4 linked regions of the Neodiprion lecontei genome follow. The protein of the gene in region 4 purifies or fractionates together with the protein of the main gene of each other region. This does not show direct contact. Links are inferred from orthologs where the notes say so. Each region holds a gene or a part of one and is shown on either strand. Other genes may lie near its edges. The genes, in order: splicing factor 3B subunit 6, coiled-coil domain-containing protein 97, structural maintenance of chromosomes protein 1A and splicing factor 3B subunit 3.

What was found.
Region 1: the proteins of splicing factor 3B subunit 3 (region 4) and splicing factor 3B subunit 6 fractionate together in Homo sapiens (co-fractionation; 5 studies listed by BioGRID and IntAct, with this or other methods). This does not show direct contact. The link is inferred for Neodiprion lecontei from reciprocal best matches to the Homo sapiens genes SF3B3 and SF3B6.
Region 2: the proteins of splicing factor 3B subunit 3 (region 4) and coiled-coil domain-containing protein 97 purify together in Homo sapiens (affinity purification with mass spectrometry; 3 studies listed by BioGRID and IntAct, counting the BioPlex papers as one, with this or other methods). This does not show direct contact. The link is inferred for Neodiprion lecontei from reciprocal best matches to the Homo sapiens genes SF3B3 and CCDC97.
Region 3: the proteins of splicing factor 3B subunit 3 (region 4) and structural maintenance of chromosomes protein 1A fractionate together in Homo sapiens (co-fractionation; 3 studies listed by BioGRID, with this or other methods). This does not show direct contact. The link is inferred for Neodiprion lecontei from reciprocal best matches to the Homo sapiens genes SF3B3 and SMC1A.

Annotation. Positions count from the first base shown.
Region 1 is NC_060261.1:29,429,961-29,435,227, reverse strand, and holds splicing factor 3B subunit 6, read right to left. Parts: upstream 2,920-5,267; 5' UTR 2,778-2,919; coding exon 2,745-2,777; intron 2,558-2,744; coding exon 2,439-2,557; intron 2,136-2,438; coding exon 1,907-2,135; 3' UTR 1,273-1,906; downstream 1-1,272.
Region 2 is NC_060262.1:39,744,227-39,750,059, forward strand, and holds coiled-coil domain-containing protein 97, read left to right. Parts: upstream 1-2,771; 5' UTR 2,772-2,893; coding exon 2,894-3,813; intron 3,814-4,006; coding exon 4,007-4,169; intron 4,170-4,262; coding exon 4,263-4,319; 3' UTR 4,320-4,585; downstream 4,586-5,833. Other genes in the region: ATP-binding cassette sub-family C member 10, read right to left, coding at 1-255, 446-715, 957-1,718, 1,858-2,001. UniProt on the Homo sapiens protein: May play a role pre-mRNA splicing through the association with the splicing factor SF3B complex which is involved in branch-site recognition.
Region 3 is NC_060260.1:1,031,850-1,041,112, reverse strand, and holds the start of structural maintenance of chromosomes protein 1A, read left to right. Parts: upstream 1-2,819; 5' UTR 2,820-3,031; intron 3,032-3,098; exon of another isoform or gene 3,099-3,175; 5' UTR 3,176-3,200; coding exon 3,201-3,312; intron 3,313-3,409; coding exon 3,410-3,530; intron 3,531-3,778; coding exon 3,779-3,878; intron 3,879-4,041; coding exon 4,042-4,220; intron 4,221-4,307; coding exon 4,308-4,446; intron 4,447-4,534; coding exon 4,535-4,999; intron 5,000-5,090; coding exon 5,091-5,519; intron 5,520-5,583; coding exon 5,584-5,795; intron 5,796-5,882; coding exon 5,883-6,051; intron 6,052-6,116; coding exon 6,117-6,239; intron 6,240-6,325; coding exon 6,326-6,457; intron 6,458-6,536; coding exon 6,537-6,602; intron 6,603-6,676; coding exon 6,677-6,834; intron 6,835-7,068; coding exon 7,069-7,166; intron 7,167-7,255; coding exon 7,256-7,560; intron 7,561-7,652; coding exon 7,653-7,925; intron 7,926-8,031; coding exon 8,032-8,211; intron 8,212-8,312; coding exon 8,313-8,491; and 5 more. Other genes in the region: caspase-1, read right to left, coding at 1,342-1,598, 1,671-1,976, 2,084-2,343, 2,447-2,523. UniProt on the Homo sapiens protein: Involved in chromosome cohesion during cell cycle and in DNA repair. Central component of cohesin complex. The cohesin complex is required for the cohesion of sister chromatids after DNA replication.
Region 4 is NC_060262.1:21,777,657-21,786,952, forward strand, and holds the start of splicing factor 3B subunit 3, read left to right. Parts: upstream 1-2,700; 5' UTR 2,701-2,850; intron 2,851-3,016; 5' UTR 3,017-3,101; coding exon 3,102-3,498; intron 3,499-3,704; coding exon 3,705-3,877; intron 3,878-3,956; coding exon 3,957-4,453; intron 4,454-4,623; coding exon 4,624-4,789; intron 4,790-5,037; coding exon 5,038-5,206; intron 5,207-5,677; coding exon 5,678-5,829; intron 5,830-6,168; coding exon 6,169-6,324; intron 6,325-6,545; coding exon 6,546-6,837; intron 6,838-7,012; coding exon 7,013-7,679; intron 7,680-7,767; coding exon 7,768-7,884; intron 7,885-8,098; coding exon 8,099-8,477; intron 8,478-8,566; coding exon 8,567-9,055; 3' UTR 9,056-9,296. Other genes in the region: uncharacterized protein LOC107222893, read right to left, coding at 1-74, 565-687, 773-1,166, 1,274-1,658, 1,768-2,003. UniProt on the Homo sapiens protein: Component of the 17S U2 SnRNP complex of the spliceosome, a large ribonucleoprotein complex that removes introns from transcribed pre-mRNAs.

The sequences.
Region 1 (5,267 bases), on a different chromosome or scaffold from region 4:
CGTTATTACATTAAAAAGAGACGATGACAATCATTCAGTGAAAAAAAGTTATTGAAATTATTTTTGTTTGACGTTAGTTTTTAACATAATTAATTAATAAAGTCATTTTATAACGAAACTGCTATTTATAATTTGATGAATATAATCATTTAAAATCACAGTTAATAACTAATTCATAGAACAGAATGAATATTACCCATAAAAATAAAACCAATTTTTCACTGCGGAATTGAATTATAATTTAGTAACGTAATGTTAATTCTCGAATACGATGTCGTTTAAACAAATCCTGAGGTACGATGTTGTTCTGCTCAGCCGTTGAATGATGCAGAGAACATATTTTGCGGCATAATCATGATTTCCAGATCCGAAGATCTAAATGTTAATCGTTTGACTATAAGTATGCGGCGAGTTACGGCGGAGTGTTCTACACGAGAAGAAGATTGTTTTTACTACTCGCACATGACGAACCTGGCCTAAAATTTTGTTTCTTCCAGGTCGCTGATCGCGCTTCTGATCTCAATGTTCTTGTAAAAATAATTACTTTGCTGTAAGCTTCCGATCGATGAAGAACTGTGCATTGCTATATTTCCCATTCCCCCTCCTTGCGGAAAATACTTTCTAAAGTTGCACTTTCTAGCACAAAAAATCGACCGATTCTACAGCTCGTTCTTTATCGTAGCCAAATCCCTTAGCGGGATTTTTTATAAACATGGGATATTGCAACTTTGCTTGAAATAACTCAGTTCCGTGTGAAAAAGTCGTATCAATTGACGTATTTCGTGATCCTAACGTACTTTTGAATGTTCTAATTATTTTTTGTAGCTGATTTTACTTCGTCGTTTTCGGAATTGCTGGCAAAAGAACTTGTTACTCCTAATTTATGCGATTTCGCTATACACTGATTGTAAACAATCTTTTACGGTCATAAGTTCATAGAATATAATTAAATGAAGCAGAAAAATATTTTCTGTTGATTTGCAATAGTTTCAATCTTGCTATTTCATTTAAAAAATGTCTGTCTTCATTTTTGTTATTAAGATTTTTAAATTGCTTCGACATTAGCATTCTGTTTTTTATTCTAAATTTTCGATCATACCCGGTAGCATTAATTTGAATTCAATGCGTAAACTAAGTAATTGATATGCACAGACTTTTCTCTGTCTAATTTTAATCCCTCGAAATTTATTCGCATTCAATTTATGTTCAGCAAAATGAGAGATGGATCGTTTGGAGGTGCGTAATTCTCAATTATTAATGAGAAAAATCATATTGAACGGCATTTTTCGTTTTTATTTCGATATTGATACCACTAAATAGTAGTTACGAATTACAACATCAAAAAACTTTTATTTTTTAACTGGATGAAGAAATGACAAACTACCTTATTTGTACTCAAACACTTGAAATTCACAAGTTAAATTCGCAATTTGAAAATTAATAGAAAATGAAACAGCAGTTCATTTTGTTTCGTGATTGAAATTTTCATCGTCATTAAATATCACGTCGATTTTACTGGTTCAATGCCACTTGTTTCAAAAACCTGTAGCAATCTACTAAAAATAAACACACTTACTGTTTACTAATGCTAGAAACTAGGTTATAAAAGTGGTTTTTTTCTACACTGTTCTTGTGCGTGATGCATTAAATGTAACACGAATTAGGTGATGATTTATAAATATGCAATATAAAATCATTTTATATTTACAACAAACTGCAAACAGTGCAGTAGAGAATAGGATCGGGCTTATCATACCTCTCGCTTTGATAGGAAATAACTTCACACAAGTCAGGCAGACACTTACATTTGCCACATAATTGAACCACTCATGATTATGCAGTAACTGCCGCATTCACAGTAGCGATACTTTGTAATTGTTCAAAATATCACTTAAATTTCTTAACATTACGGTTTCTTTTCTTCGTTGAGGTTGTACTTCGTTTTCAACTTATCGATTTCCTCCATCTTCTTATCAACGTCGACGCGTTTAAACGCCTTGTTACTTTGGTAATACAGTACCACTAGGTAACGGTTACAGACATTGAAACCACTCAGGTGATCGCAGGCGTTTTTTGCATCAAAGATATCTTCATAAACCACAAATGCTGTTCCTCTCGTCTCTGCCGTATTTCCTCTGCAATCAAAAAAACTCAAATTTTTACACTCGTGTCCAAATTGCTCTGCATAATAAATGCACGTATATCTCAAGCTCATTTTCAAAGACTGAAGTTATTGCCACATGATAAACAAATTCGTAGTTCCACTAGTTCCAGCGAGTACGGTAGTAGCAGTGAATTTCGTTCTACCCCGGTATTGATAATAGCTCATCGCCATGAATTAACAGAAGCAGAATAACGTGGATAGTATAATTTTTTGAATATAAAAATGCAGAACTTTTTAGAACAAGTAGAATTAACATTAAATGAGGTTAACTTACACTCTGATCTGCCGTATTGCTCCGTATTTACCAAATATGTCATACATTTCTTCAGCGGTGATTTTGTACGGCAGGTTTCTTATATACAAAACTCTGTTGACCTCTGGGGGGAGCCGAACCTTATAAATTTGAAAAAATAGTTTAAAACAAACACTTAATACTATCAAGGTAAACGTATAAATGTAAGAGAATAAACGTAGGGATTGATTCGGAGTGAAAGTGAGGTTAGGAGTCGAAGGAACGGAAGGTTAGAATTATTCAGACGGTTATAATTACGAATTTCCTCAACAAGCGTTGTATACTCACGTTGGCTCGCCGTTGTAACATTGCCATCGTCATGATTGCGGTGTACTTGAGTCAGGTTCAGAGATCAAATTAACAAAACTCAATAATTCAACTCACAGAGCTTCGAAATCAACGACTTGTCAGAGCGCTGTCCAAATGAACACTGATGAACACTGTCGCCGAACGCAAGAGCTTCGGTCAGCGGTGAGTCGGCGTTGCCAGCCCTCTGGTGGCAACAGGTCGTACTCGAAGTGAACCTTTGTAATTTGCTGCGCGCGCAACAAACTACAGAAGCATAAAGAAGCAAGTCAAATACTCGAGATTTGTGAAATATATAACAAGATGCGCCATAATTTTTAGAGGAATAATTTCAATTAGAGTTCAACCAATGCCTGTTATCAGCGCCGGCAATTTTTGTGGGCATGGTGTGGCGGAACTCGACACCTAGATCTTGCACCATGTGGAAATTCCACACCCTCAACGTAGCGATTTTTTTTTTTCAGAAAAATACATAATCAAGTATCACACGATACTTATTTCAGATAATTAAAAATCCAAATGCGATATGCATTTATCTTAAATATATTCGAGTTCCAATTTTTACACCTACCATACTTGGGCCAGTCAAATAGGGCTCGATTTTCATAAAAAGCCTAAAAAAATTTCCCACAGCTAGCAATTTTCAGGGTAGAGGCGTTACATTATTCCAATAAACATATCTTGTTGAAATTTTGAAATCTGAGTGCTACAGGGGGTGGAAAAATTGTTTAACCGGCAAAAACGGCAAAAAATCGAGACGTCGAAACGGTTCCTCGCTTACGGTTTGAACGAATTTGAAAATTTCTAAAAACCGAAAACACGATTTTTAGAGGATATTTATTTGAATACGTCCAAACGAATTTTTTTATTCTATGTTGACTACAATTTTGTTATCTTACCCCCCCCCCCCCCCCCCCCAAACCCCCGTTCTAGCCACGTTAATTAAGGGGGGAAACCAGTTTAGACCGATCGTAAAATCGTCTTTTTGTTTATTGCATGAATCGTTAGTATAACTATTCAAGAATATGTGGTCAAATTTTCAAAGCAAAATTCCCATTAGTTCGAATGCAATGAGCACTTAAGTGACCGCCCGTCGGTTCCGTGAAGAAGCGCACGGTAATTATAACGGAGCGGTCGCCCAGGCCCTTCTTTTCCAGCTACCTGCCTCAATACCGCTGTGCTATTATTGAATAATAGAATGACGCATATGAGCAAGAAGAGGGATTGCTATATGGTGCCAGAATAGCTGATTAACCGGTGAGCATTTTCTATAATTAATTACTGCCTTGAATTTCTCGTTTTCGCTACATTTTATTTCAAACGCGTTTTTCTCGAAACGACTTTTCTTCGACTAGCGTACATTCTAGCTCAAAAAGTTATTGATCAATCGTTCTGAAATTTGGTGTAGATATTCTTTATTCAATTCCACGTAACATGAACCAAATTCGGGGATTATATTGTTATTAAAAATATATGTTTTTATGCAAGAAAGATGAAAAAATATAGTATAAAAACATGACATTGTGTTCAAACACCTCAAAAACATGCAATTTTCAATTTGTTTGATCAAAATTAGGTTCATATTCTTAGAAAATATGTTTTTAATGAAAAAAAAATCCTGCTGATTACGGATAAAAATTGCGACGTCAGGGATGTACGCCAGCCAAATGCTCGGATGGCAATCGCCCATGGACTGCACGCGGTAACTGCACTATTTCCGGCGGAAATCGTTTGAAAAAATTTTTAAAGTGTACTTGAAAACATAAATAAAATATCCTCCAAGTTTAAACAATTTGTGATTATTCCTTCCTGGTTAAAAAAAATCATGAAAAACAGCAAAATTTCGACCTCATAAACCGGTTTCCCCCCTTAAAAAGTTCACACCCTCCGCGACGACAAGTTTGCCGACGATGACTTGTATTTCACATCATCTGTGACACATTTCTACGCTTGAATTCGATCTAATGTGCTCTTCAATCGATGGTTTTGAGTAGGTGTGCGCGGTATTTCGGTAAATCGAATTTTTTTCGGTATCTCCTTCCTCGAAATGTATCGGTATGGGAACCTTCTATCAATACCAATACCGAAATATCGAAATTTCGGTAAATACCGAAGTACCGAAATTTCTGATAATCTAAATAAATATTCACATTATTCGTATTTAGTACAGTTCAATACAGATTTTTCTTATTCTTTTTCCGACGATATTTGTAGATTAAAGTCTACCGAAATTTCGGTACTTCGGTATTTACGGAACTTTCGATATCTCGGTTAACTGAAACTACCGAATACGAAACTCGTACCGAAAATCGGTATCTCATTTCCAATACCGAGCACTCCTAGTTTTGAGACACGGATTTATATTTGTAGGTGACTGTAGATCGAGAGTGGGTTGAGTAATGGAACGCTTTTTGACAGGTGACGCCGTGTTACCAATTATTATTCTTACCATACATGTAGAGGTTCTCATTGCGAAGATCATTCGGAATTACAGACGTACGGTAT
Region 2 (5,833 bases), about 18 Mb from region 4:
GTACATGTAACCGAGCGAGAGCTGTTCGCTTTTATCTTCAATAAATCCAACCAGTTTATTTAGCAATATGGGTCCCATAAATCCGGAACAATCGGCAATAAATTTCAAAATACCAACGGCGTAACATTGGATACCAAAACACTTGTGCAACAGTTTCAATAACGAAATGCGAGGTGCTTCTGACCCAACTAATGTTTCTGGAATATATGACGCCGAAGTTGCATCAACACTGAGGTAACCTCTTCGTTTCTGGATCTGGAATACCAAATTTTGCAGTTGAAATGTTGAGCGACTTAATTTGCCTGACAGTACCAATGATTCGTAAAGTTTGAACAGCAAGCCACCTTCCTTCTTACATCTCTCAACTAGATTTTAACAGATTAAACTTATACTAAATATAGAAATGCCATATTTATGCAAATGGAAATAATCTTTTCGTACAGACCTGATCATGGATATAGCGATTCACATCATGGCTGACACTAGAGGTACTGACATCAACGGGGAGATCATACAAGTCATCAGAATGATTCAGGAGTCCTTTCACTCCTTTTTGCATGAGCGGCGTAACCCAGTGAAACAGCAGCTTTGAAATAACAGTTGCATCTTCCATAGCAGTTCCGAGATAACTCGGGTCTCGCTCTTCAAGAAAGCCATCGTGAAAGAATGTAACAGAATGACCATGACTGTTCAAGAGAGCTGTGTGCTCCCCTACCTGTGACAAGATTTTTTTTTTACATGTTTTACTGAGTATCTAAATTTGCTATGCCAGTTGCCAGATATTACAGCGTCTGTGTTGTTCAACACCGATGGTAAGAATTTCAAGAAGTAAGGTATTGAGGGTACATTTTATATCAGTTTTCTGGAGAAACGAAACTAAAAATGAAAGAAACTTGAAGAAAAATTTCGGACTCTAAAACGATGACGCTAAAACATAAAGGTGTAGAAATACTTGCCTGACTATGTTCGACGAAGCTTGCACTGCCTGGGATTAGCGTTATAGCGTACAAGATTAAGAGCATTACAGTGGCGATGCTGAATCCAAGTGAAAGATTTGGCAGTGTATCGTCAAGGGGAGCGTGTTTGACGTGAGAACGTAACAGCAGAATAGAAATACCCATTAATAGAAAAAGTAGAGCTCTGATGGACACAGGACCGCGTGGGTTAAACTGATTTCCATTGCTAAGGCCTAATACAAAACAGAAATGAACAACCCAAGCTAAGCCTTCAGTTCCGGCTACCAAGTAATCAATAGGCTTTGCCGACGTGGCTACGTTTTCGATGTTATTATATACTACATAACTATGAGTATCTTCTCGAACAGCTGAAGAACTTGTCGCAGTATGTGGAAGACTGTTGTTTTGATGGAAAATGCCTTTGACCGCAGTACCAATTTTTTGCATAACTTCTTCAGCTTCTACAACAATGTTAGGTTCATTTGCATCTGTCGTAGGCTTGACGACGATGAATGGAATATTCAAATTACTGTCACTGTCAGCACTTTTATCATTGATATTCGCAATGTCACGATGCAACGGAAGCATTGTTGCATTGCTCAATATGATGTACGCTTTGATGATAGGCAGTAATGCTAGACATGCGGTTATAAAAAGTCTGAGCACAATTACATAATAAGTGCGGTTTGACCGTGAAATCAACACCGTTCGTTTTCCGCAATAGTAGGCTGATAGCATTGCCAAAAAAGCAAGGACTGGAATCTGTAGAACATATAAGAAAAATTAATTAGGGGTAATATCCTTCAAGAATCTTGTTTATCTACATTCACTCAGTCAGTCTGTGATTTAAGTAGTTCGAAAGCTTATATTTATAATTATAATCCACTGAATAAATTTCTACCTGCAGGCATAACTGCTGAAAGCATGTGCCAAGGTCGCGTGTATTGGGATTAATGGGTCTTATGCTACCTCTGATCCCGCACAGCTCGGTCCAGTTCCAGTGCCATAGTCCATTATCATCGCCATCCATTGTCATATAGTCCATTGTGATTGAATGAGGAACTGCGAACAAATTGGTAAAATATCTCTTATAGCCAAAAATGTAGCCAAGATTATACAAATCCGAAAATGTGAAGACAAAAGCTCATCCCCCGGCATCTTACGCATAAATTTCCTTATGAAAACTTCGATTGAATCGAAATAACTAAAATTAATCCGGCGGATTGTAGAGTGGAAACAAAAACCAACAACAATTCATGGCCAAAAGAGGACAATTATTAGCTGCACAAAAGCAAACACGTCGTTTGACACGTGTGCTGCAGGGCGCGTATTCGCTTATATTCTCATGTAAAATTCTCTGCAGATCTCGTGAAATCCGTATTCGGCTTAAGATTAAGAGGAATGAAAGTATATTTCTACTTTTTTTTAGATCGTAGAGAGGATTGAAATTGATTTAAACGGCTCGAAAATCAATTTCACAAAATATCGAAGTGGCAACTGGCGAAAAGCCACGGATTTTGACAAGTAAACATAACCTCAAGACATATTTTGTATTACACGATAACGAATTACCTGGTCTCACGAGCTGTTCTTCATAATAAACTCTCCGTTTCTTACCGCTGTCACTTTTCAATCGAATGCAAACTCTCGCTGAGAAAAGTCTTGTGCATGAAATATCGAGCCGACGGCTTATTTTCTTTGTCACCGAAAAGTTCCGAAGGAAACTTCCCGCAGTTCTTATATCTTGTCTTACCTATTCGCTTACACCATTGGTGTAAGTTACCCGCAGTGATTCACTAGCAGACGACAGGGAGTTTTAAGGTTATGTTCGGTGAGTTGACGCGGGTGACGCGCAGTCTGCGTGACACAGTGACAAACTTAAATAAACTTTAGAGAATTGTGACTTTGAGCCGGTGATATTTGCGTGATATTTATTGATGAGTAAGGACGAAGGTTCGACAATAACACCCGCAACAGCAGCAGCAGCAGACGATAATCAAGAAGCGAATATGACGGTCGACAGGGAGGCCGGAGATTCTGAAACGAGCGAAACCGCCGAGCAGGCAATTCTCTTCGAGGAGATGATCGCCTGCGTGGCAAATTCCAAGGCGATATTCAAGAGCCAGCAGAAGAACGACCCGGACTTGACAGTTGAGGAAAAGGCGAGCATCGCGAGCGACCTGCTGCACAAAAATCGCTCCATGTTCCTCTCCAGGTTCGGCAGGTTTCTGCGCGGCGAACATCTTCGGTACTTCAACGAGCCTCTTGATCGGCCGGACTACGAAGTAGTATTCCACGTGAACAGACTGCGCCGCTTTCACAACCGCTCGCAGAGGCGAGTCGACGTGAAAAATCGCAGGTACCAGGCCTTAAAATCGCTTATTGAAAAGGGCGAGTACTTCAGCGAGACGGAGATGATGCGGAGGAATCCCCTACTTTACGAACACCTGGTAGGCCAGTACCTTACCGAGGAGCAGAAAAAGGCCAGAGACAATATCGACACCCAGAATATTACGTTCGTCAATCTTCTGCTCGAAAGCATTCAGCGGGACGGGACCAGGAACTTAAAGAAGGAGCAGCAGGATGCCGAGGACGATGTCATGGAAGAGAACGACTCGGACGACGATTTCGAGGGTGCCGTTGACCCCGAGGATGACTCTGAAATTAGGGGAGACTCCCGGTGGGGCGAGATGCCCGGCCAATCGTCAAACCCGTACGAAAAGGAGGCCAACGAAAAGAAAACTGACAGCTTCTACCGCGAAATTTCAACCAAGGAGCGGCAAGTTCTTAGGGACGAATTCATTACCAATATGTATCACAGTTTCTTGAATGGGAGGGACAAGGACTTCGACTACAGGTATAACATCTTCATTAACCAAACATTGCCGCAAATCAGAATGTATTAAAAGCGCAATTTCAGTATTTAAATCGCAAAAACGAATGCCGTGGATTCTAATCGTTCGAAATTTAAATTTGAAAATAAGCTGCACGAGCGGTGCTGCCATCTATAAAAAACCGTTGGATCGATAGCGTTGTGTTCTGTGTTTCAGCACCGTCGACGACGAGGAATCGTATGATAACGTAGATCTGCGGACCCAGGATGAGGAGGAAAAGTATTTCGACTCGGAATCACCAGAGACAATTGAAGAGGGCAAAATGGAGGAGGGAGAATCCAGTGAGGATGAACTGGATAAATATATGAAATCGTTGCAGGTTAAATAAAAATATTGATTACGGAAGAACTTGTTTGCACTATTCTTTTAATTCTTGGCTCGGTACAGATATTTGCTAATTTTTTTCAAATAGGAAACGCCCACTCCGATCGAGCTCGCCGACAAAGTTGAGAAGCAAACGATACATTGAACGGCTTCAGCGTAATTCCTTTATTCATGAGTTTGTAAATATGTATCCGTTTTTTGTTTTAATTAAATTAATTTTCTTTATCACTTACTAATGATCATAAACCTAAATAGGGTCTTCACTTATTGCATTACTATACCTAAGTTCAAACATCCTAATCGTCAAAGCTGTCACAAATGCACGATAAACTTAAGCTTACGTATACTTTGAATATTCAATGCGAATCAATACAGTTGTAATTGTATAATAAACCTGTGTATATTAGATGACGAAGATGTTTTCTGCCTTAAATTCCTTTGGTATTGTAAAAACAGACGAATGTCCCGCTCAGGTTGGTAAATATTATTGCACGGAATCATCTCTCTCATAGGCGAAGTGCGGAACAATTTCGTCAATGTCCGCCAGACCTGTTGACCCAAATTGCCAATTAATTAAACGAGTATCTGCTGTCAAACACAGTCATCAACGCTCATGCGAAGTGATAATAATAATGATAGTAATCACACCGCCGAACGAAGTACACTCTTTGAGTCCGCTTATTCGGGGTTCACATGCTCGATTTTCACTCGATAATCATACCTGTACGCCCGTTTGCAAAATCGTAATTGCTCTCTATTCACACCGATAAGGGTTCAACGCAATGTACGTTAATACACACGTTGACTGAAGAATAAACTTCAGTCAACGATACACATTTGCCGTTCACGTTCAAATTTGAAATATGTAATATCATCACACGTTGCAATCAGATCTCGCGTGTACAAAGATACCAAGCTTTAATTTTATTAATTTTTTTCATTCTCTCTCACGAGCATCATCTTCGGGTAGTTACATCGTGATTCACTGTGAAAGAACCAATATATATGTAACGCCTAACGGATATTTCTTGTGAGAATAAAGATTGAATTATTGAGAGTAAACAGTAGGCAAACACACATACACGTGACTTTTGCAAACTAAATTCTCAATTTCAAAACTTCCGTTACAGGTGAATTTAGAACTAAAATAATCTTGCCGTCACCTTGTGTGGCCCAAAACAACATTCGATAACTGACCAGTGATACAAATGATTTTACAGCTGAAATAAAACTCCAAGCGAATCAATGTTGGCCATCTTGATTTTGTATACCGGCATTTGAAATGATGCTGATTTTCTTTTCTTTTCTTTTTTTTTTGCTACCTAGACCGAGTCGTATATTTGGCGCCGGACATTGGATCAAACGAATCATTATTGCCGTCAGAAACTGGCAAAACATATTCTACAATGCGGTAATTAGTTAGTTCCGAAAATTAATTTAGAAAGTTACGCGCCGCAACAATAAGCGCTAAACCGGGGCCAGCACCTGACGTCCGTTAAGTTAGAATAACCACACGTACAAAATCAATCAAACTTGGTAGGTATGAAGATGCTCTTTAGTTGCTATTTTGTTCCCCAAGTCTCCATTTTGTTGCTCAAAGCGGTTTTGCCAGAAGCAAAGACGATGCCAAGTCGAGAAAGAGCTGGTAATGAAAAACAA
Region 3 (9,263 bases), on a different chromosome or scaffold from region 4:
TGCTAACTGAAGATTTAGAATCATTGTCTAGAACTACCTTCTTCTTAATATTATAATTTGTATTTAGTATCTGACACAAGGATCTTGACACTTGAAGAGTTTCGCCAATTCAAGTCAACTAGGTAACAGCTGAAATGTGGAAGATTTTGTTTCTTTTATGACATTAAATGAATTATATTCAGGGAGTGTTGTGTTTTCATTCCAATCAAATGATATCATCATACTTGTAGATAACAGTTATTTTGTTCTACATAGGAAAGCTCACTGGATGAATGGATAAGATAAGAAGTTCTTTTCCAACATTAATTACAGTTAAATATACTTTATTAATGTTATAAATATTCATACAAAGTGTATAAAAATGCGTATAAATGTGCTATTCCAAAACTACATTTACTTAAAATGTAAAAATACAAAAGAACGTTCAAATAATTTGAGCAATTATTGAATTCACAAAATTAAGATAACAATTTCAATCACAGGGGTATTTTGCTGTTTGTTTTGTTTTAAGCTCTAGCAAAATTAGTTTACATACGAAAAAAAAGGAAATACAAAAGTAGGAAATTTATCTGTGCACGATTTACACTATTCGTTGGATTGGGCCATACATCACATCCTATCACTGCTTACCAACTAGGTATGAATCTGAAGAATACCACGGGTTTACACTATAGAACTATAGAATATAATAGGTGTGTGTACAGTATATCTTACGTAGTAGAAACATTGAAATTGTATATATATAAAATTGACCTAACAGTAAATGCACTTTGTTCCAGTTGTGGCCATCAGCCAAAAACAAAAGGACAAGCTATATGATATAATACGTACACTGTTTGAGATCAAATGATTACATCTTGAAGAGTTTTGTGAGTATTAATTACAATTTAGCCATCAGTTGTCGCTTAAGTCTCCTCAAAGTAATAAGATCTAAGTAATGTTACAATGCTCTGTCCTGATCGCAACTTCACAAATACTTCCAGCAATGCAAATTCATTCAAGTTGTTCTAGTAAATAACATTCGATTTTGGTCCGTTGAATTGTTTCGTTTGTGTCATGTTATTTGTGGCTATTATAAGCATTTTTTGTTGTGTCAAATGGCATCGTCAAAATATGCTTTAAGTAACTGCTGTATATGTGAGCAAGTAACGGCAGATAGTTCATGACAAACAATGTGTGCAGTCACTGAAGTAACCTAATCTAATGGAATAAGATGTTACAGATTATTACCTGGGATGAAAAATTTCCGTCGAATAGAGCGAAGGATATTCATAGCTGATAAAAACTGTTCTCAGTCAAGAATTATGGCAAATTGAATTAAAACGATCTTGACCTCGTGCATCAATTAGCAGCAACTCCGTTCTTAGGCAATGTGAACTTCACTAGGCGTGTCAGCATTGAAGTGATACATGGAATTTGTTTCTGCTGATGCATAGTAATATTGTCAGGAGTATTAGATTCAAAATCAATTGCAACGCGCTGACAAACAAAAGTCAGGAGTGTTAGCAAATCCCATCGTGAGCCATTTTCGCAAAGCTCCAAGCACAAAGCTTGCATGAACCAGGATCCTCGGGTCGTGTTCCTCCAAGAATAGAAACCTAGAAGAGAAGAATGAAATAAATATTGCTAACAATGTACTTACAAAGCCTACAAATGACAATGGTAATTACCTGGTATGGTCGAGTAGGCTATTAAAAAATCTGCATGGCTTGGTATGCGAAAACTTTGGGAACCATGTCCGTCTGTTTCTGTGCGTTCTCTGAGGCTAACACCAGGATCTAATTTGTCTCCCTGGCATGCCTGGATAAAGAACATTTTAGGTTTACCAGAGAGTGTCGGACACTTGTCTGCGGTAAAGTATGACCAAATTGTGTCAGCTTTGTAAGGAGTGTCATGGGCGTATAATATACCCAGCTCTCCATGAGACAGTACAGCCACAACTAAACAATCATGATCTGAATGATCCATTTCTGAAACTGATTCATTTCTCATGTTAGTATGCCTCAAGGATAAGTGATGAAAATTCTTGTAGGATGAGTTGGCAATTTGTAAAACAGGATCAAGCATTTGATGACACACAAACCTTTTTCTAGTTTCTTCTGAATATCCTTGAATATTAGATTCTGAAAATCTTTGACCTCGAATCCAAGTTTGACTAGACAGTTCCTTAGCGTTTCACAGTCAACGTTAGTGCCAGATCTGGGCTTGAGGTGATTTATGGTGAAGGATTCGTGGTTAAAAATCAGAGCTATACCTCGCTTGGAATGATTCATGTTGTAGTGAGTCGCGTAGCGCATTGTCGGACTATTTTGTAATTGATTTCCATAAGACTGCGCGTTGCTCCTGAAGGAAATTAAAGGTAAACAATCTTACTTCAGTTCTATTTGAAGGTTATATTAGGTTAGGGTTACATTTGGTAGATTTGATAAAAATTTTTCCAACTTACCTTCCGTAACCAAAGGCATCTCCGTAGTCATCCCCTTCGACAGAACTGTCGACGCAACTCTGAATTGTCGCAGACATTATTTTTTTCTATCTTTAACACCTCCAACAAGTATCGATAGGTTTTATCAATATAAACAAACCGCTTTACATGCAGCTTTGTGGATACACTATCCACACGCGTAACACTGTGACGATATATGGACGATATTGCCTATGCGACCATAGGTATGAAAATGTCGGACGTAGCAAGCAATGACCCTGAATGACTCATCCGTCGGCTTCTTACCTCCTCATGTTCACAAATTATCCTCTCAGGCACAGAGAGCTAATTTCGGAACGCACTTGCAGAGGAGGATTCGTGGTGAGTATTCCAAAATGGTTCCAAAGTGGTTTCAACTCCCGCGCATAGTTCCCGCCACGGTTACCGCGGTGATATATGACAAAACATCAGACTGATCGGAACGTTGAACGGAGATTCTGGCGCTTGGACATTCGTTTCTGTATTCATTTTCTCAGCGTCGTAGCGTCAGCATTGTGGCGTCTCGCGCCTGCCACGAGCTACGGTTTCGATGATTTTTCGTTAGAGGTATATTTACGTTTGGCTGCGACATGTAAATAGTTTTCAGTGTCAACACTCATGTTTTGTTGGTTAGTATTTTAGTGGAGATTCGAGAGGCGTGGACACTAGTAAACAATAACCGCGGTGATCCGTACGGTTCGCATCTGACAGGTTATTGGATACAACCATAACCAGGATGCCAGCATTTCTGAGTTACATTGAAGTCGAAGACTTCAAATCCTACAAGGGAAAACTTAGAATTGGTCCACTTAAGCCCTTCACGGCAGTCGTAGGTCCAAATGGATCCGGTAAGACCTTCCTACCAAATTCTAAATTGTCATGATCTCAAGCTTGCAACGTCGTTACTGAACATATTTTCAGATCTTTGACTCTGTCAAATTACAGGCAAATCAAATTTCATGGATGCCATCAGTTTTGTCATGGGAGAAAAAACTAGCAGCCTTAGAGTAAAAAGATTCAGTGAGCTCATCCATGGTGCTTCAATTGGTCAGCCCGTTAAGCGAAGGTAAGTAAAGGCAAATAGTCATGACATTTTTTAGTAAAATAGGATGAATGAGTATGGGGGTAAGTCCAAAAGATAGCGTTCAAGGTATAAATACTCATCAGGATGGAATTGGACTTGAACAGTACATTAATTAACTTCATGATTTTATATTTGAAGAAAATGGTGCCTCTGCCATCAATGGCTTGACCTATCTCTCATTTAGCCTTTAGATTACCATATGTTTAATTGTTGATCGGTTTAACTTTCAGTGCTTCGGTTACAGCTGTATTTAAAATGGAAGATGGTACTGAGAAGAGTTTCATGCGGTCAGTGCAAGGCTCCGCTTCCGAGCATCGTATCGATAATATGGTGTGTTTATTACTCATAGTTATTAAATTCAAATACATCTTTGTCCCTTAATTCATCAAAGTAGATCATTAGGTTTCAAAGCTTGTGTGTGAATAATCAATGATAATTAAAATGTGCAATCTTCTCATTTTGTAATTTCTTAAACCAATCTTGCATCCTGTAGGTTGTAACTAGTCAAGTGTACCTTAACGAGTTGGAACATCTTGGGATAAATGTGAAGGCTAAGAATTTCCTCGTCTTTCAAGGGGCTGTGGAGTCGATAGCTATGAAAAATCCCAAAGAACGAACAGCTCTTTTCGAAGAGATCAGCAATTCGGGTGCACTGAAAACTGAATATGAAAGGTAAATCTGAAATTTCTTACTCACGAATTGTAGCTCAAAACGGTTTGATTACATTGTACTCAATGTCTATATTTCAAACCCACTCAGGCTCAGAAGTGAGATGTTCAGAGCGGAAGAAGAGACACAGTTCTCTTATCAAAAAAAGAAAGGTGTAGCTGCTGAGAGAAAGGAGGCAAAATTAGAAAAGGAAGAAGCCGAGAAATACCACCGTTTAAAAGAAGAATGTGTAAGTGGACTGAACAACTTGATTTTCCCCCAAATTTACCTCTTGGCTACACATATTTTGATTTCTTCATTCTGTTTATCAACATCAGGCAGAAAAGCAGGTGGAGTTACAGCTCTTCAGGTTGTTTCACAATGAAAAAGAGATTGAAAATTTAGAAAACACTCTTAAAAAGAAGCAGCATGAAGTGGATAAGATATTGAAGAAAAAGGAAAAAGTGGATGAGAAATTGCGAGAGCAGAAAAAAGAGGCTGGCAAACTAAACCGTGAATATCAAAAGATTGAACAGGATATTAGGGAAATGGAAGCAGAGATATCCAAAAAAAGGCCCACTTTCATCAAGGCAAAAGAGCGTGTCACTCACATGCAAAAAAAAGTCGAATCTGCTCGCAAATCTTTGGCAACTGCTCGTACTGCTGACGAAGCCCACAAGAAAGACATAAAGGAGCTTCACGACCAGTTGTCCCAAGTTGAGCAAGCTAAAAGTGCCTATGAGGCGAATGTCGCCGGACAATCACAGTCACAGGGGAGAGACGTACAGCTTGAGGATGAACAGGTATATTTTTAGAGTAAAATGTGCAATATAAATTTTTTAACATTAAACCAGAAAAATTGGTATGGTTAATATTATTTAAAAATGATTCAAGGTCCGAGAGTATAATAATCTGAAAGAAGCGGCGGGAAAACAATCAGCACGCTACTTGCAGATGCTCGATTCCATTAATCGTCAGCAAAAATCCGACCAAGACAGGCTTGATAATGAGGGTAGAAAAAAAACAGACGTTGAAAATAAGCACAAGCAGAAAGGTCACATGAGAGACGAGGCTCAAAAGCGTGTAGAAAAGCTTGAGGAGCACATTAGAACTTCAGAAGCTGCGTTGGAGGATCAGAAGAAGCTCAGAGCTGATCTACAATCAGATGTGGGAACATCCAAAGACAAGATACAACAGATACAGCGCGAGTTGGAAAACATATCTGAACAGCTTGGTGATGCCAAAGTTGACAAGCACGAGGTTTCAAGGAACAAAAAGAAGACAGAAATTGTTGAAAATTTCAAACGTCTTTATCCTGGTGTGGTGAGTAAAAAATGTCCATTGTTTTGGTGGTAAAACTGTATTCTATTTTATTTATTTGGTTTAGTACGACCGCATGATCAACATGTGCCAACCGATCCACAAAAGATTCAACGTAGCTATTACCAAGGTCTTGGGGAAGTACATGGAAGCTATTGTTGTAGATACTGAAAAGACAGCAAGACAGTGCATACAGTATCTTAAGGAACAATATTTAGAACCAGAAACGTTCTTACCACTTGATTATATTCAAGCAAAGCCATTGAAGGGCAGACTTAGGTATGTTAAACGCCGTTCGGATTTCTGGAATGTGAAAATTATCTTACTGCTTATCAATTCTACATGGTGCTAATAATTATTTTGCAGAAACATTCAAGAGCCCAAGAATGTCAAGCTTTTATACGACGTTCTCGCTTTTTCGCCAAAGGATATTGATAGAGCTGTTTTATTCGCCACTAATAATGCTTTGGTTTGTGAAACTCCCGAAGACGCCAATAAAGTTGCGTATGAGATGGACAAAAAAACTAGATACGATGTAAGTAAATGCATATGAAGAAAAAATCGCGAAATATAAATCTCACGTTTATTTACTCAATTTAGTGTGTCGCACTTGATGGAACTTATTACCAGAAAGCTGGAATCATTTCGGGTGGAAGTTTGGATTTGGCAAAAAAAGCAAAAAGATGGGACGAAAAACAGATGTCACAGTTAAAATCTCGGAAGGTAACACTACCAAAATTAAATGCTCACACATCTGATTGTTGACGACCATAAAATAACAACCTAGAGATGCGCTCGTTGATTTTCAGGAAAAACTCACAGAAGAACTAAGAGAGGCTCTTAAGAAATCTCGCAAAGAATCCGAACTTAATACAGTCGATTCTCAAATTAGGGGACTTGAGACCCGCCTGAAGTACAATAAAAATGATTTGGTAACAACGGTAAGTGGACAGTACGGCTATACAATTAGTTTTTAACCATTTTGGCAAATCACGTTCACTATTTTAATTTAATCCGTAGAAAAAGCAAATAGCGGATCTCGAAGTGGAGCTGCAGGCACTACAAAATGAGTTAAATCTCTTTGGTGTGAGTAATCGATGAGTATTGGGAGAAATATTCCCATGATAATCGATTAATTGTATTGATATACTTTTTTGTAGCCCACAATAAGCGATATTGAAAAAACAATGGCCACCAGAGATCAAGAGATCCAAGCTATCAAGGAAAAAATGAACAGTGTGGAGGACGATGTATTTGCCAACTTTTGCGAACAGATCGGTGTTGCCAATATTCGTCAGTACGAGGAAAGAGAATTGAGGTAGAGTCCAGGAACCTGTACCATCTTTTTTTTTTTTGCCCTCTTAATTTGAATAAAATCAATGCTATTCAGCAATTATCTCCCAAACGTCTGTCAATACCTGCAGATCCAGCATAATCCTTGATCCTTGGTCCTTCAATCGTTCCACAATTGCTGATATCATTAGGTATCAATTTATGAGTGAATCACAATGAAATTCATGTTCAATCTAAATACCAAACACTCGTGTCACAGATCACAGCAAGAGCGTGCCAAGAAACGAATGGAATTCGACAACCAAACAAATCGTATTTTGAACCAGTTAGATTTTGAAAAACAAAAAGATACCGAAAGTAAGAATATTTTTCATTTTCCAATTTTGAAATACCTAATGAATTAATATCTTGGGAATTAATTTTAATCTGATTCTACAAAACAACAGGCAATGTACTTCGCTGGGAAAGAATGGTTCAAGATGCTGAAGATAAACTAGATGCGGCTCGTCAAACCGAGTCTCATCAACTGACTGAGAAAGAAAATGACGAGGTACAAATGAAGAAATTAACATCGACTCGTATTAACAAAAAGCTAGAGATGGATCAGGAAGAGGAGGAAATTGGAAAGGCAAGACGTGAAGCTGGTGCTATTGCAAAAGAAGTTCAGGCTGCGCAAAAACAGCTAAATTCAATTGAATCAAAGATTGAACAAAGGAAAGCAGATCGACATGCTATTTTGATGCAATGCAAGGTGGGTAACTTAGATATCCACAAGGTATCTCAATTACTTTCTAATTAGTTACATCCTTGAAAATCACGATAAAATCATCATCCAATTTTCAGATGGAAGACATTGCAATACCCATGTTGCGTGGGAACATGGAGGATATCACACAAGAGAGTACTGTGGCTGGAAGCGAAACAGGCACAGACTCTACATTGAATACTCAACAGCAGTACGAACGGGAAAGTTTAATCACCATCGACTACGGTCTTCTCCCTGACAGTCTAAAGGACATAGACGATGACGATATTAAAAAGACGAATGACAAACTCAATAGAGTAATAAACGAGCTTCAGGGAACAATACAGAGAATACAAGCTCCAAATATGAAGGTTTGGATTTACATTTTTATTGTTGAGCTAAATTTAACTTGACTCAGGTCACTTCTAGGTCTGAAATGAATCTGATAATTTGGAATAAATATACTTCTCGATATAGGCGTTGCAAAAGTTATATGCGGCTAAGGAAAAATTGCAAGAAACGAATGAGGAGTTCGAACAATCCCGTAAAAAGGCTAAAAAAGCTAAAACTCAGTTCGAGAAGGTTAAGAAAGAGAGACACGATAGGTTCATGGCATGTTTTGAGCATGTCGCCAATGAAATCGACCCGATCTATAAGGTAAATACTGAATATATGTCTACATACTCTTACCGTGTACAGATTTAACATTCTTGCTTCACTTTTGATTTATATTTTGACTGTTTTTCGACCCTTATCAGTCTTTAGCAAAGAACCAGTCCGCCCAGGCATTCCTTGGACCAGAGAATCCTGAAGAGCCGTATCTGGATGGTATTAATTACAATTGCGTTGCTCCGGGTAAACGATTCCAGCCAATGTCCAACCTTTCTGGTGGTGAAAAAACGGTTGCGGCCTTGGCGTTGCTGTTTGCCGTTCATAGGTAATTGCTTTCAAAGTCAAATCGAGAAGTTGGTGAAGGTATAAAAACGGCCTAAACCCGTTGAAGTTTCGGTGTGGTTTCCTTTCGATCTAGGATCTCTATGCTTCGATGTCATAAATTCTTTTACTGTCGTAGCTTTCAGCCAGCACCCTTTTTCGTTCTGGACGAAATCGACGCAGCCCTGGACAATACGAACATTGGAAAAGTAGCGAGCTACATTCGTGACAAGACTAGCTCTCTACAGACGATTGTTATTTCGCTCAAGGAAGAATTTTACTCTCACGCAGATGCGCTCGTTGGCATCTGCCCTGACGTAAGTTGTTCCGCACACGATCCCGACTCTATCCGCGATCGTAGTGTCTCGCTTGCTTCTACATGAAATAAAAATGAGATTCATTTCGATCGTGTATAGCACTCTAAAGTGCAAAAATTGAGTTTTCGTGATTTATCTTCACATACGTCTATTTGGCGATGTTACTAACGGCCTGTTCTGTTTCACAGGTTGGTGAATGTCTAGAGAGCAAAGTCCTAACACTTGACTTGACAGAATATCCAACTAATTCACAGGCGGTCGAACGGGAACCCGCAGGAATTTTCCCCCCAGCACCTATTATGAATTTGTAAAATTATCTTCAACGTAAAAGTTGGGATTAGGGATTCGGGTTTCCTGGTAATAACATTTGGAGAACGTAACGAAATACTTAATGTCAATTTTTATTTTATTTCCTTATGTTTGTTCTGTATTTTTGCACGTATCATCTGTGTTATGATC
Region 4 (9,296 bases):
GCTCGAAACGGGGATGTGAGGTGGTGGCAGAAAACTTCTCAGAGACTGAACAAGCTGTATTGTATCGACCAATGCTGAAATCAACAAATTATTTTCTGTAAAGTATTCCCTCCTGTTTTAGGAAATGGCCAAGTATAAAATATTATTGTAATATGTAGGAAGGTCGAAGCCAGTTCGAAAGTGCACCCTGAAGTCAGGCGTTCGCAGGTTTTAATATTTAAACCTGTAAATACACAAGAATCATCACTACTATATTGTTTCAAAATTCTATTGAGTATATTGCAATATTAACGGGGTATATAAACAATAATAATCTCGTCACTTCCGTGATAATTCCAAACAAGAAATACAAAAGTTCAACAAATTATTAATTGCACGTAAATTATAGACATGTGGTTTCAAAACAATAAATGAATATAGGTGTAGAGATATTCGATTGACTATAAATGGATTAATAACAATTATGCCATACATTATAACGTACAGAATTGAAAAAGAATTCTCTTCGTAGACTTATCATTTACCATTATCGAAGATATATTCATTCAATCCCATAAAACTCACTTTTTTGTAAGGCCTCAGACTGTTTACCATATGGTTTACACATCGCTGGTCTAACACAAGCTTTCATCCGCGCCATGTTCTTCATCACTTCCGCAAATGCTCTTACAATCTTTTCTTGTCCACCTGTAAAGTGTAAAAAACAATGACTCAAACATACCATATCATTAATAAATAACTCATGTAAACAGGTAAATAAATAGCTGCCCACCTTCTGAGTTCGATGAAGACGATCGAGAGCCCTTGTCGCTGTCAACGGACCAAGCTCCGTTATGCAGCGCGAGCAGATCTTTGTTGGCATTTCCCAAGCTTTGAAGATTGCCCAAAGCACCTAACCCGCTAAGTCCATCGAGATTGTCCAAATTTGCCCTCAGAAAATCAGTCAATTTATGATCTGATATTGGAATGCTGGGTATGAGCGGCTCGTAGTGCTGTTTGCTGGCACATTTCTTTTCCTGAGAACTAGGCCGGTGAGGAATATTAAGTGATGGACGACTTGGAGGACGTTGGAGATTCATTTGGTTTCCGCTCCGCATTTCCGACGAGCCAACCAAATCCACTACCGAATTGGTCATGTGGGTATTGGATGGAGCAACACTCATAGTCTGTGGCAGCAGAAGAGTTGCATTAATCATCGTCTTACACTTTGCCTAAATTTTATGTTATGTTCTAGCACAAGCGCATGCAAAGTCAATACAATTCAATAAATTACCGTCTGAAAGTCAGCGTTGTGGGGAAAGCTAGAGCGTAAAAGAGATGCTGTTGTTTCGTTGTCTTGAATGTAAGTCGGACCTATGTGATTCATTTTCTGACTCATCTCGAGCTGATTTTTGTAATAACGACACGCAGGATTGGGACAATTCTGTACCACTTCAATGATAAACTCTTTCTCCATGCCAAAACACTCTCGACCAATGGTGTACGACTCCATAACGGCTCTTACGGTACCTTCCATACCAAGGTGAAGACCGTGTGGGCCATTCATGTGCTTGAGCATAACTGCGTTTGCAAAATGTTCGTATGGCAATATTATCTTGCCATTTTCTCGTAGGACCAGTCTGCCTTGCGAATCTAAGGCAACTCTGGACGCCATCATCCTGAAACAAGATTGAGTGTGCTTAAATTTTTGGTGCGTTTTCCTATTTTTCTATCATTTTTCAAGCATGACATTATGACTTGGAATATATTGACTGATTCTCATCTCACTGAAGGTAGGTGGTGCTTGGTAACATGGAAGCCTCCTTAAGCTCGGTAAAGCATTGGAGTAACTCGATGCTCGGATTCCAACCCTTGTTTTGCAAATAAAGCTGCAGCAGCATGTACATTTTCTCAGTGACATATCCAGCCCCGTTCGCTCCCCCCGGATAACCACCTCCAGGAGGTCCCATCTCTGTCTGCATACCCTTAGCCACTATATTTTTCATAGTTTCCGCCAAGTCCATTCTGGAGATAATAATAATAATGATTAAAAACACACATTAGATAATGTGCGATATACGTGGTGCTCGGAATTGTTTGGGACCAAATAACAAGCTATTGTTTACCTCAGAAAATCTGTCAAAATTGCGGAATCAGTGACATTTTATTCCACGGTGCTTTTTTCTCTGTTTTACTTCGTGTTTATTGGTACACGAGAAATTTTGTAGAAAAAAAAATAATCGGTCTGTAGACATGTTTGATATCTGCCACGAATCCCGGGTACGCCGCGAGGCTAACGATATTTATTGCTTTCGGCCATTGTTGTTTTCGGCAAATGCAGAAGCAGCGGGCGGCAGTCAGTCGGTGCCCAGGGAGTGTGAAAAAAACATTAGCCGATTAAGCCGCCGCCCCCCTCCTGTCTGGCTTTATATTATTTCGGTTAACTTACCCCAGCCGGTATCACCGCAGCATTCACAGCACCGTTGTTATCACAAATTTAGGGCCTAATCGCCCCTATACTATCATTTTACAATTAATTAACTACTTTGCATTTGCAAATATAACATAAATCGCAATTATTATATCCGCGAGTATAGCTTGCCCATACACCCGCCAGGGGCGGTTGGTAAATTTTCTACGGTTTGCTCCCTGGAAGCTTTTAGCTTATACGTCACTTCCGCGACGCTCATCAGCGACCAGACGTAACTTCCGTTTTCGATCCCTCCCGCGGTGGAACGACGGTCACCGCCATTTTCATTTCATCTCTCCGAGTCGCCGTGCCGTGTCCACGTTTCGGCTACGCGGTCCCGAAACATTAAATAAAAATCCGCTGACATCGGCGGATTTTTACGAATTCGAAACACCTATCAGGTAAAGTCTTGTTCATCTAATCAGTCTCTCTCTATATCATGTCGTATTTATCTTCCCAAACAACTTCGTAACCCGAGAAATGCATTTTCATCAAAACTACGTATAGGCGCGGCGGTTTTTTTTTTCTACCCGACAGCTTATTCATCGCGATTATTTCTCTTTGCAGCATGGCAGCCTGAAACTTATCTGCGAGCACGAAGCTAACGCTGACAAATTAAACTTCTTATAACGGATTATCAGCCGCATTCACGATGTATCTGTATAATCTAACACTGCAGCGCGCCACCGGCATCACCCATGCCGTCCATGGTAATTTTTCCGGCAGTAAAATGCAAGAGATACTTGTGTCACGCGGCAAGTCGCTCGAGCTGCTTAGGCCCGACCCGAACACTGGAAAAGTTCACACCCTCTTGACCGTCGAGGTTTTTGGCATCGTCAGGTCTCTTATGGCCTTCAGGCTTACGGGGGGCACCAAGGATTACATTGTCGTTGGGTCCGACTCTGGTCGCATTGTCATTCTAGAATATATTCCTGCTAAAAATGCCTTCGACAAGGTGCACCAAGAAACCTTTGGCAAAAGTGGTTGCAGAAGAATTGTACCTGGACAATATCTAGCCATTGATCCAAAAGGAAGAGCAGTTATGATCGGTAATTATGAGAATTTAAATTTTTTACTCAGCTTAACTGTGACCAGTTGTGTGCTAAATGATGCTGATCTTATGATCCGTGTTTCAACTGATTATCCATTGATTACAAACTTACAAACTGATGGTACTATTAAAACTGGTAGTTTTTTTAATTGAATCAATGTAATATAATATTTTCATTTCTGACGGTAAAATTGGCTTTTTCAGGTGCTATCGAGAAGCAGAAACTGGTTTACATATTGAACAGGGATCCAGAAGCCCGTTTAACGATCTCGTCTCCCCTTGAAGCCCACAAAAGCAACACTCTAGTCTATCACACAGTTGGTGTAGATGTTGGATTTGAAAATCCAATGTTTGCCTGCTTGGAAATTGACTATGAGGTGAGATACACATTCCTTGTGATTTATTTGCAAGGGTTGTGAAAGGTAATTAATTTTGCTTTTCGGCTTCCCTGTACAGGAAGCAGACAGTGATCCGACTGGAGACGCAGCTGTTAAAACTCAGCAAACGTTAACCTTATACGAGCTTGATCTTGGATTGAATCACGTAGTGAGAAAGCACAGTGAACCTCTAGAGGAGCATGCAAATTTCCTTGTTTCTGTTCCTGGAGGAAATGATGGTCCCAGCGGTGTCCTTATCTGTTCAGAAAATTACCTAACCTACAAGAATCTTGGGGATCAGCACGATATCCGTTGCCCAATTCCCAGACGTAGAAATGATTTGGACGACCCTGAGCGCGGGATGATCTTCGTCTGCTCAGCAACTCACAAAACCAAGAGCATGTTCTTCTTTCTTGCCCAAACTGAGCAAGGGGATATTTTCAAAATCACCTTGGAAACTGATGAAGATATGGTAACGGAAATAAAACTCAAGTATTTCGACACAGTGCCTGTCGCCACAAGCATGTGTGTCCTGAAAACAGGTTTCTTGTTCGTCGCCTCTGAATTTGGAAATCAGTAAGTCTAATTTTTAGCTGAAACATCACGTGATCTTTTTATCAATCCGTTTATCCAACCAATTACCAGTGGTTTCAACTTTTGATACTGATGATGTTAACCATTTATGGCTATGTCGGTTCAGCTTCCAATTGATCAGACGTGTTTGTAATCGTTATACTTAATTGCAGCTACCTGTACCAGATTGCTCATCTTGGTGACGATGACGACGAACCAGAGTTCAGTTCAGCAATGCCACTTGAAGAAGGTGATACCTTCTTTTTTGCTCCCAGACCACTCAGGAACTTGGTTTTAGTTGATGAAATGGACAGCCTATCACCGATCATGACTTGTCAGGTACCTAAAACTGAAACTACTTTTTCAATATCCAAAATTAGGGAAGCATTTCCAAGTAGGAGATCGAATCATCATTGCACTTTCTCCTGAGTTGTAATGCGATAAAAAAAATTCCTTGTCGCCTTTGTTTTGTACTATTACAAGCCGAAGTGAATCAAGGAATGATAATCACTTGAGATGTTTTACAATCTCGTTATCCGTGTTTTGGGACAGCAAAATAGATCATTTTGCTTGCTTCGTGTATGCAGGTCGCTGATTTGGCCAATGAAGATACTCCTCAACTGTACATGACTTGTGGTAGAGGTCCAAGATCCACGCTGCGAGTTTTGCGTCATGGACTAGAAGTTTCGGAAATGGCAGTCAGTGAGCTGCCTGGAAACCCAAATGCAGTCTGGACAGTGAAACGAAGAGTTGACGGTTAGTTCAAGTTTTATAGTTCAAAAGATAAACAGGAACGTTTTGTTGATCCACTTGCAAGAAGATGCAAGCCTGTCGTAGCCCTGGAAACGTGCAGTGTGTTCGTTTCATTTCATTCATTTGCAAGATTTTTAACGCAGTATTCAAATCCGCTAGCTAGAGTCCGTTTAAAAAGAATATTAACGAACCTGGTGGCTTGATACACTTTTATCAAACACCAGTTCTCTCTTTCAGGCTGCCAGCGAGCTAGTGGTTGACTGATGCAATGCAGAAAGACTAAAAGGTGAGGATCCTATCGATGGGTCTGGGATAAGTCCGACCTGAGAAACAAAACGAAAAAAAAACTTAGTAAAATGCGTCGCCCCTTGTACACCAAGATGCGGTCATTTTTCCGCGCGTCTCAACGTTCTTTACACATTGGTTACTTAACTTTCCTAATAATCTAGACGAATCCTTTGATTTCGGTTACAGAAGAGTATGATGCATACATCATAGTGTCCTTCGTCAATGCCACTCTTGTGCTTAGCATCGGTGAGACTGTTGAAGAAGTAACGGACTCTGGTTTCCTCGGTACGACACCTACCCTCAGTTGTTCTGCCCTCGGAGAAGACGCCTTAGTACAGGTAAATTTATTGTTCGCCTTCAAAATTCTAAACGTAATGTCAAATGATCCTAAAAATCTAGTCATCTTATTGATTGAGATACAGCACATCAAGTTTATAAATAATAATGCACTGCGGTATCTCCAGCGCCTGGTCAACCACGCGTTGGTCGCAAAAACAGTGCTAAATCAAAGTATCGGGTTTCGCATCGTTGGAGCACACTGTCACTCAAATGTATTCTCCTGGTATATTAACCCGAACACTTATCACATGTAACTATCGGCCGCATATCCAATATATGCCTCGAGTACAACGATGTGTAAATTGAATGTCCATTCAATTTCTTTCCCTTTGTTGCAGGTATATCCTGATGGAATTCGTCACATTAGGGCCGACAAACGAGTAAACGAGTGGAAAGCACCGGGTAAAAAGACCATTGTAAAATGCGCTGTGAATCAACGCCAGGTTGTGATTGCCTTGACGGGAGGAGAACTGGTATACTTTGAGATGGATCCTGTGAGTTAGATTTCTATTTCTTGTGGATAGATCGCACAGTTTGTTCTCTCCACGATGTACCTTATTCTGTGGAGATGTATAACGTGCAAAAATTAATCCACTTTTGCTTCTTCTGTCCAGTTAATACTGGTCTGAGTGAAACAAGGGTGAACAATATGCCGTTTAATGTTCAAATTTTGAATAAAATGAAGACCTGCAATTGAAGTTGTATTTTATTACAGACTGGCCAACTGAATGAGTACACAGAGAGAAAGAAAATGCCATCCGAAGTGATGTGCATGGCCCTTGGTAACGTCGCCGCTGGAGAACAAAGATCCTGGTTCCTTGCTGTTGGACTTCAAGACAATACAGTCAGAATCATTTCCCTAGATCCGTCTGACTGTCTGGCACCCAGAAGTATGCAGGCCTTGCCTGCAGCTGCTGAGAGTCTCTGCATTGTTGAAATGGGGTCTAAGGAAGCTGACAATTCGGAAGATTCTGTCTCTCAGCAATCAAGTTTATACCTGAATATAGGTAATTTTGAAACAAATGCTCTAAGATTTTTATAAATCCTGAAAATTATCTGATGACCAAACGACAGTTCCCTGAATATTGATGAAAAACCTGCAGTGCTGATTATCTTTTGCTTTTCAACGAACTGACAATTGTGTGATTTCAATTATGCTTAGATTTGTATCTTGTTTTTCAGGTTTGCAAAACGGCGTACTTCTAAGAACGGTTTTGGACCCGATTTCCGGTGATTTAGCCGACACGCGAACTCGATATTTGGGGTCCCGACCGGTAAAATTATTCAGAATAAAGATGCAAGGCAATCAAGCGGTGTTAGCGATGTCCAGTCGCTCTTGGCTCAGCTATTATTATCAAAATCGTTTTCATCTGACTCCTTTATCGTATGAAAGTCTGGAGTTCGCGTCCGGTTTCAGTTCCGAACAATGTCCCGAAGGCATAGTCGCTATATCCACAAATACCCTGAGGATTCTAGCTCTCGAAAAACTTGGTGCTGTTTTTAACCAAGTCAGTTTCCCGCTTGAGTACACGCCACGTAAATTTGTGATTCACCCTGATTCTGCCCATCTAATCATCCTCGAAACCGAGCATAATGCATACACTGAAGAAACTAAGCAACAGAGACGCCTGCAAATGGCCGAGGAAATGCAGGAGGCCGCTGGAGCCGAGGAAGCGGCTGTCGCCAGGGAGTTGGCCGAAGCTTTTCTGTCTGAAGAACCAAATGAAGCAGTATTCGGCGCTCCTAGAGCCGGCCCGGGGCTGTGGGCCTCAACTTTGAGACTGATGGCACCTGCCACTGGACAAACCTTGGAGCTACATCGATTGGAACAAAATTACGCCGCTTTATGGTATAGTTAATTTATTTATGCACCTCATTGTTTTTATTTCAAGTTTATTTCTGTAGCTCTTAACTAAGTGTATTAATTATTTTTACAGTTTGTCATTAGTCAGATTTGCTAATCAGGGTGATCAACAATTCCTCATCGTTGGTGTAGCAAAGGACTATCAGCTCAATCCTAGAGTGAGCAACGGCGGGTTTTTATACACCTATAAGTACGTAAAATAATGCTATTTCGCTATTGTGTTGTCGATTTATTTATTTATTTTTTTCTTGCCAAGTAAAGTTATGATGAAAAATATCACATTAATTTCTGTATCTTGATGATATACCTGCAGTTCTGAAAACACAAGTCAATATTAATATTTCGATATAACCAAGAAAGAATTTTATTAATCTAATTTTTATATTTACTTCATTCGGTTCCAGAGTAAACATAGACTGTACAAACCTTGAACTTATGCATAAAACTGTGATGGACGAGGTTCCTCTGGCAATTTGTTCTTACCAAGGACGAGTCCTGGTCGGAGTTGGAAGGATGTTGCGTCTGTATGACATGGGCAAGAAAAAACTTCTTCGAAAATGTGAAAACAAGCACATTCCAAATGCCGTGGTATCAATAAACGCCGTAGGTCAACGTATATACGTTAGCGACGTTCAGGAATCCGTATATGCAGTTAGATACAAACGACAAGAAAATCAATTAATCGTATTTGCTGACGATACGCATCCGCGATGGGTCACGACAACTTGCGTTCTTGATTACGATACTGTCGCAACGGCTGATAAATTTGGGAACATTGCAGTGGTAAGTATCTTTATTAACTATCATTGAATTTCAATCAACTTTATTTTTACCTAAAAACCAATTAACCCCATTCTTTTACGCTATTTTAGATTCGCTTAGCTTCAGGAATAAATGATGACGTCGACGAGGATCCAACCGGAAATAAAGCACTCTGGGATCGCGGACTGCTGAACGGAGCGAGTCAAAAAGCCGATACCGTGGCGTGTTTCCACATAGGAGAGACTGTGATGTCATTACAAAAGGCTACGTTGATACCTGGAGGTTCTGAAAGTTTAGTGTACACGACGTTGAGTGGAACAGTTGGCGTCCTCGTGCCATTCACGAGTCACGAAGACCACGACTTTTTTCAACATTTGGAAATGCATATGAGATCGGAACATCCGCCGCTCTGTGGTCGCGACCATCTTTCATTTCGATCTTATTATTATCCTGTCAAAAATGTAATCGACGGTGATCTTTGCGAACAGTTCAATTCGATTGAACCAACCAAACAGAAGGGTATATCAGGTGATCTGGAAAGAACGCCCTCTGAGGTCTCAAAAAAACTTGAGGACGTCAGAACTCGATACGCCTTCTAAGCTTATTATGAAAGGGGTCTCCCTTTGAGAAACCACACCGTAAAGTGAAGTCGCGCTCGACTGAATGACCCTTATTCTGTTGGAAACATCATTCAGACCGTATAAGGTAACAGGGTAAAAATATTTTACGGTATTGATCTTGTACTTTCGACTTCCCTTTGTTTAACGGCGGGCTGTGAGTAAAACTCGCTGATGTTTTTTAAGCTAGTTAACTTTGGTAAAAAAAAAAGTAGCAATACTT